Linked DNA regions of Coturnix japonica. The protein of the gene in region 2 purifies or fractionates together with the protein of the main gene of each other region. This does not show direct contact. Links are inferred from orthologs where the notes say so. Each region holds a gene or a part of one and is shown on either strand. Other genes may lie near its edges.

Region 1 (3,500 bases), on a different chromosome or scaffold from region 2:
TTTGTTTCAAGCAGGGGTGAAGGAATTGCAAATGATCACCTCCTGGAAAGTGAAGAAACTGAGGCATCTGAAAGGTCAGGTTCCCATTCATCAGCAGGGTCATAAAATACATCAGCAGCTTTATTGCTATCATTACTCTGGGAAATAAAGGAAACAGAAGAGAAGGAAGGTTAAGTAAAAACAGGGAGATAATAAAGCATACTATACAGATGAAGACATCACATTCGGCTGTACAACAGCAGATCTAACCACAGAACCACAGAATCGTAAGGGCTGGAAGGAACCTCCATGACCACTGAGTCCAATCCCCCCTTCATGTTTTTCTTTTTGTTAGGAAATGTACAATTTAGAAAATAACTAACTGGCAGCAAGGTTGACATGCAAGTTTTTAGAGTGCAAAATGAAACATGAGACATTTGGTACAGACACTGCTATTCAGCATCTTGAGATAAAGGATACAAGAATACCAAGTAAAAAGCCTGTTCACAACTCTTTCCTTATGACATCTGTTAAAATTCTGTGCATGTAATTCACACAAAAGCAGATACAAAAATAAATACATTTGTAATGGTTTTAGCCATATTTTTGCGCATGACATAGAATTCTCTTCTCTGCTGTTTTCAAGATCCAAGCAGGTTTTAGTAATAAACACGATACACTTCTACCACTGGAAATTGTTGCATTTCACAGAATTGCATTGTAAAGGAAGGTTTTCTCTTACTTTTTTTCCTGGATTTACTTTGTTATATTTTTTCCCTTTTAAACAAGGCAAGGAAAGATTTTAATACCTGATATACATACAGAAAAAACCTCCATATATACAACAAATTTTACATATCTAATATACTCATATATACACATATGTATGATGAGGATTTTTTGTGTGGGTGGTTGTTTTTTTGTTTGTTTGTAAGATCACATACCAAAAAAAAACAACCCAACAAGATTCTCCTTATACAATTATGTTGATGATTGAAATATCTTCAACAAAATGTTACTACTCATCAGTTAGTTCTTTTCCTTAAGTTCTTACTAACCTCATAGAGTTCTTTCATCGCTGCTAGTTTGCTTTCAAATTTCTCCAGGCTCCAGAAAGTTGCTATACCCAGTTTCAGGTTACGAACCTGCACTTGAACAGAAGAAACCGATCCTGTTCTATCATCGATTTTCTCATGCCTAAGAATTTGAGAAAATTAAAAATAAAAAGCTATAGTAAACACAAAGTACTTGTAGGTAGATCATACAGAGATCAAACTTTTTAGTACAAGCCCAGTAATTGTCAAAAACATCATGTTTTCCACAAAATACAAAGATTAGTTTCGGTTTCAAATTAATTTATATTTAAAAGAGAAATAAACCAAAACCTTTGCAGTCCATAATGCCTAGCTCTCAAGAAACTCAGAACCAAATACGTGTTACAGACTTCTATTGCCAGAAACATCTGAAAACCACAGTAAAACACATCCACTCATCACCCCTACTATTGTAGCCACTTACACACAGAGCAGGAGAATCTCTGCAGTGAATCTGTGCTCCTGCCAAGGACAATTAACCATCACACAGGAACAACTGGTCTCAAGTCCTCAATATCCAGTGCATGCATGTTCTGAGGTTTTCACTTTGAACTATCTCTATTGCATTAAGTTTATAAGGCTACATCATGGGGGCTGGGCACATATATCCTGGTTTAGTTTTGTTCAAAGTTAGAGCCATTTCCACTGAAAAACACCTTCAAGATCAGAAGTTTCACACTAATAAGTAATGTATTTAATATGCTTTAGGACCTCTCTGATACATGAGCCAAACCACAATGGACATAAGCATCATGAGATTTGATTCACCCCCAAAGCATGCTGGATTCAAAATGAATCGCCTAACGTAAACGTAACTTTATTTCAAAGTAACACAACTAAGTTCCACATTCCTCTAGAGCTAGATGGGAAAAATAATCTGTCGTTCAATTAAATAGAAATCTGTTCAAAGAAAAACAAATAGCTGATTGTACTTCTAGAATCCCCACCACATACACTTAAAGTCAGCTCACTCAGACACTTACCTGTTAAAAACAGTGTTTTTCCTTAATTCATTACTAATGGTGTTGGCCTCTTTGATCATCACAGATAATTTCAAAGAATTCCAGTTAAGAGCAGCTAATAAAGAGTAAAATACATAATGATCAAGTTATGTAATGCAACAGCTTAAAGGTTGAAAATGCAAAAGAAAACTACACACAGCATCTTGAATGGAATTTAACTATTTAGCTGGACTGCGTTTTCTCAGTACAGTGGAGGAGAAAGCAAAAATAGCTTCCTAGATAGATAACTCAGAAAAAAAAAAACAAAAAGGGAAGGGTATATAAAAAGTAACAACATAACTTTAGATACTATCAATTAAGCTAATCTGATATAGGAGTCTAAACAGAAGCAACTGTTACTCCAGTGTCTCCAGTGGATTAACTCCTAACTAGTTCAGCCAGACTGAGAAAGAAATTTAAAGTAACTGGGGTAAATATTGACTATCTGGGAACCCACCAAACCACCCTGAATGAGATAAAGCAGAGATTTTAGCACGGTCTGGTATACATACTTCCATAAAAGTAAAGGATTGTAGCAGCCCTAAGACTGTTCTTTTTCATGTTTGTGAGAAAGGCATTAGAGGAAGAAAACTTCTGGATCCACACACATTAAATCCAAGTCTGCTGTGCAGAAGAGAAATCACTGCTCCTGCAACATTAAGTACAGACTTACTATTCATAGCTTTATTCCCACTTCCACGATTCTTCTGAAGGCTTTCAATTTCTTCAGCAATCTTCTGTTTCTCATCTTCTAGAGCTTGAAGTATTTTTGCATGACGAATAGTATGATCTTCCAGAGCCTGAGCAAGACAGAGGAAAAAAAAAAAGAAACAAAGCATAAAACTCAACAGTGCTTAATTATGTTTATACTTAGTCTTCCCTTTGACATTTTAAGGATTTATACTACAGAAAGAAATGCATCTTCCACATCTGCCATCAGTATGAAACCCTTCATCTTCCATCTTTGACAGCTTTCTTGTTTTGGTTAGATACTGAAATATTTAAAAGAAATACAGAAATGAAAGATAAGCAGAATTAAAAAAAGAAAGCAACGAAATAGTTGTTCTAAAGTCAGATACATGAATACCAGTGTAAAAAAAAAAAAAGACCATTAGCCATTACTACGTTCACTCTTAAGAGCTGGGACTTTTGGCACTAGCAATGGTGGCTGTTGGTATGTAAGCGAAATAGCCTGGCTTACAAGAGGAATAATGATGTCAGCAGTAGTTTATCTGCGAACAGCATGCTATAGCACATTCAGATAGTAAACAAAATGCATTTGTTTGCATAGTATCACATAGGAGAAAATACTTGAGAAAAATCATTTCTCTCACAATACAGTACAGTGTTTTATTTAAAAGACAATTATGCCACTTAGAAACCCTTCTGTTTCGTTTTATAAATACCTGCTTAGTAGCTAGGGCTT
Region 2 (4,007 bases):
GTCAGAGAAAACCACGCAGATGTTACAGTTTGTTTTCCTTCTCGAACCAAAAGCAATTGCCTGACCTTCTAAAGCATTCCCATAATAAAAGTGGGATGATCTTAATCAGAAGCCAGATTCAGCACTGGAGTATCAATTCAAAGACCTTGTAATAAGGATCACTGTTTTCTGACACAAACTATTTTCTCAGATCCATGTTGGAATTATCAAGTGATCCTCCTACGCCTTCTATGCCAGTAAACAAACCACGCGGCTTTTCAGAAGCGACATCACAAAGCTCACAAACTCAAGTTGTTTTGTACGTTTTCTTCCACAATTATCAAAACTGTAAGTGGTGTATGAATGTAAGAGCTGCTGCCAGATTAATAAGCACCGTACCTCTTTCATGTACTGATTATACAAGGCTTCTGCAGATTCCAAGTAAGTCTGGCCAGTTTTAATTTCATCCCTTTCGGACCATAGGATACCTAGATTGTTCTGAAGTTAAAAGGGAAAAAAAAAGCAATTATTTTCCAATCAATTCCACTTACACTAAACATTTTCTCCATAGAATTTATTGGTCTTCAACCCTACGTATCTGCCTAATATAACTGATTCCAAAAGGCAAAAATTGTTCTCACCTACTTTATCACAAGCTGCTCAAAGAGGAGGGTTCTCACAGAGACAAGCATACAAAGTCACCTCACAAATGGCAATTTTCTGTGTTTACCCTGCTAAATTGTCCCTGGTGTGTTCATATAGAAAGGTTTCTGTACACAGTCTATTCTGCACCTGATTCAAGCAACCTTGAAATCATACAGATATAAGGAGAGTCAAGGACAAATAAATCTGTCACTGAGTCTTTGTGGAAAAACCTAATAGGGAAAAAGTGTGGAAGGAATGAATACCTGCACATTTTGACGAGGAAATTAAAAAGTGCTGTGGTGCAAAAGCCACAAACTTAAAGACAGTAGTGAATATCACAGCAAAGTGCATGGTAACGTCTCACTGCATCTACTCTTTACAAAAAACAACCCTAATGTTATTATTAAGTTGAAGGTGCTAATTGCAAACCCATGTTTAGTGGGCTAATTTAATTCCTAGCACGTGCTGTTACAAAATCTAACAGGACTGGAAACAAAAAACCTTCAGAAAGCTCTTACATGTAGCTGAATGCCAGCCTTGTAGACCTTTCGATTCCTTCTATTTTATTATATTTTAAGAGAAAGCCACACGTATCATGACAGCTATGAACAAAAACACTTTGCCCACAGCTGTGCAACAGAATTGACCAAATTTAATTAGCCAGAAATCATCACATGTATCCTTATGCAGAAAGGCAGAAAGGAGGAGGAGGAGGGCTATAGAAACAGGCCTGGTAGGAAAAGGAATGCTCCTCCTTGCCAAACAGGCATCAGTGAGGTGACAGTGTACTTTACAGCACTGGAGAGTACTCATGTAAAAGTACAGCCACTACTGGCTGCCACAATCTTGACGTTCAGTGTTGTGTTTTGGGTTTTTTGTTTGTTTGGTTTTTATTTAGATTCTCAAGTGTTACTTCCAGCACATCAGTAAAATTGCTGGGAAGAAATTATTTCCTTGGAGTGGCAGTGGGGTGCTGGGAATGCTGCCCAAAGCTGTGGGTGCCCCGTACCACAAATGGGCAGCCATTTGGGTCATTAGGGTTGGAAAAACTCTCAGCTCACCCAGCCCACCCCCTCAGTGCTACACCCCCACAGCTCTGCAACACCTCCAGGCATGGTGACTCCCCGCACCTCCCCAGCAGCCTGTACCACTGTATCACTGCTCTTTTGGAGTTTTTCCCTAATACTCAACACAAATCACCCCTGGTGCCAACTGAGGCAATCACCCCTCATCTTATCGCTGTTACCTGCTCTGAGGGTGACCTCCACCTCACTACAGCCTCTCCTTCTCAGGTAGAGCAGAAGAAGCCACCATCTGATCCACGCTTCACAGAAGCACACAGTCCCTTTGCAGCTTTACACTGTGTGGCTGTGAAGTACTCCAGAGCCCTTCCTAAATCACAGCAGCCATTTCTAAAAGGGACAACTGCTCTACATAAGTGAAAGTGTGTGTGTGTGTGTGTGTGTGTGCATGTAAGGGACGGGTTCCCACATAAACATCCAGAGGATGTGATCATGTTCTTCAGAATTTTCCTCTTACGTGTAAGATTAAAAACAAAAACATTCCCCAACTCCACTTGGGTAGCAAGTAAAAGCCAAGGCTGTGCAATAAGGTCTCAAACCAGCCCCCTACGGCTGTGCAGCCTCTCAGGCCTCACCTCCCCCAGCCCCGGGCCGTTCCTCAGCCCGTAGTCGACACCCCGCCCCCCCCCGCCCACCTGTGCCTGGATGTAGAGTGACACGCAGTCCCGGTTCAGTCGGTGCGGCTCGAGCAGCTGCGTGCAGCGCTGCAGATGTTCCTCTCCCGCCGACAGCTCCTCGGTGTCGGTGTGGTTGACGCCCAGCTCGAACTCCAGCACGGCCCGCCTCACGGCCAGCAGCCGCGGCTCGCTGCAATCCTCGGCGGCGCTCAGCTGCTGCTTCACCTCCTGCAGCAGCGCTCGGGCGCTGTACTTGGAGCGGTAGGGCTCCGTCTCCGGGTCCTTACGGGACTCCACGTCCGACAGCGTCTTGGCGTTGCGAAACTTCTCGCACGCCGCGGCCCACCAGCCGCCCGCCGCCGCCATCTTGTCGCCGCCGCCGCCGCCGTTCACCCGCCCCGCGTCACGCGAGCCCCGCCCCCCTCCCGCCGTCACGGCGACCCGCGAGACTTTGTGCAACATCAGACAGCGGCCGAGCGTCCAACGGCTGTTTAATGTGGTAAAAACACGGACAGTCCGCGCTCACTCGACGGCTGCCCCTGCCGGCCGGCCCTGCTGCCAGCCGCCGAACCTCCCGTTCTTCTTGAAGCCGCCAAAGCGCGGCTGCGGCCTGCGGCTCGAGTCCTGCGGCTGCTCCTCCAGCTCCGGCAGCTCCTTGGCCACCGCCAGCTGCCAGCGCCGCGTGTCCCGCCACTGCTCCTGAGACACAGACACCACACGTCAGCACTGCGAGTGGCACAGCACCAACACAGCACAGCACAGCCATGGAAAAAGAGGAAATAACCCAATGCTTCTGCCCATCTCTCAGTGCAGCATCCCTGTTACGTCACACACCCCATCCTCTAACCCACCCTGAACAAAATCCCAGGTAAGACCATATATCCCACTTCACATAACACAACTGTTCCAACTGTAATGTACCTGTATGTTATTCAGCTCATCCATGGGGATATCGAAGCACACCCCCTGTAACAACAGGTAAATAAATAAATAAATAAAGTGGTATTTTCTTTCCACAAATATATCCCAGGACACAAAACTGAACACACACACACACACAAACCAACACCGCCACCCCTCCTTCCCAAAGGACGGGCTGTCTTACCATCTTCCCCTTGAGGAAACGCATGGCAGATATCTTGCTGTCTATTTCCTCGCCAAGCTGCTCCTTCAGCCCTCTCCAGGCGTAGCTCATGGAACGCATCTCTATAGAGCACTGTAACACCATAGTCACAAAGCCCTTTGGGAGTAACAGAGAAATACACTTGTAAGAGGAAACTGAACTTGCTTGGACAGCCTATAGCTTATAGGAAGTAAGGTGCTTCCTGAAAAAGGTAAACTACAACAGCAAGAGCCAGCCTATCAGACTGTAAGGATTCCTTAATTAGGCTCTTCTGTAGCATCAAAGACTTGAGTTATTTAGATGTCCAGCACAATTACTTGGTGTCTCATTGCAAGAAAACGTGCTGACTGTTACCAAGTCTCTCTAGTTTCCCACAGCATGCCAGTAAGTGCGGAGTTCCATTAAAGAACATTAAACTAGAATGAGCTAACAGTTCTAAGAAATCATACTCAAAGGTCCTGAAGAGAAGGTACTAAAATGCCACACTTGCACAGAATTCAAGCAATCCTTTTATCTGTTCTTGTTAAAGCAGTTATAATGTTATTTACCGCAGCTGAGTTG

What was found.
Region 1: the proteins of KIFBP (region 2) and KIF14 purify together in Homo sapiens (affinity purification with mass spectrometry; 3 studies listed by BioGRID and IntAct, counting the BioPlex papers as one, with this or other methods). This does not show direct contact. The link is inferred for Coturnix japonica from reciprocal best matches to the Homo sapiens genes KIFBP and KIF14.

The regions. Positions count from the first base shown.
Region 1 is NC_029523.1:1,368,090-1,371,589, reverse strand, and holds part of KIF14 (kinesin-like protein KIF14), read right to left. Parts: coding exon 3,481-3,500; intron 2,875-3,480; coding exon 2,748-2,874; intron 2,151-2,747; coding exon 2,057-2,150; intron 1,177-2,056; coding exon 1,038-1,176; intron 138-1,037; coding exon 40-137; intron 1-39. UniProt on the Homo sapiens protein: Microtubule motor protein that binds to microtubules with high affinity through each tubulin heterodimer and has an ATPase activity. Plays a role in many processes like cell division, cytokinesis and also in cell proliferation and apoptosis.
Region 2 is NC_029521.1:8,806,042-8,810,048, reverse strand, and holds the start of KIFBP (KIF-binding protein), read right to left. Parts: upstream 2,801-4,007; 5' UTR 2,786-2,800; coding exon 2,342-2,785; intron 478-2,341; coding exon 379-477; intron 1-378. UniProt on the Homo sapiens protein: Activator of KIF1B plus-end-directed microtubule motor activity. Required for organization of axonal microtubules, and axonal outgrowth and maintenance during peripheral and central nervous system development.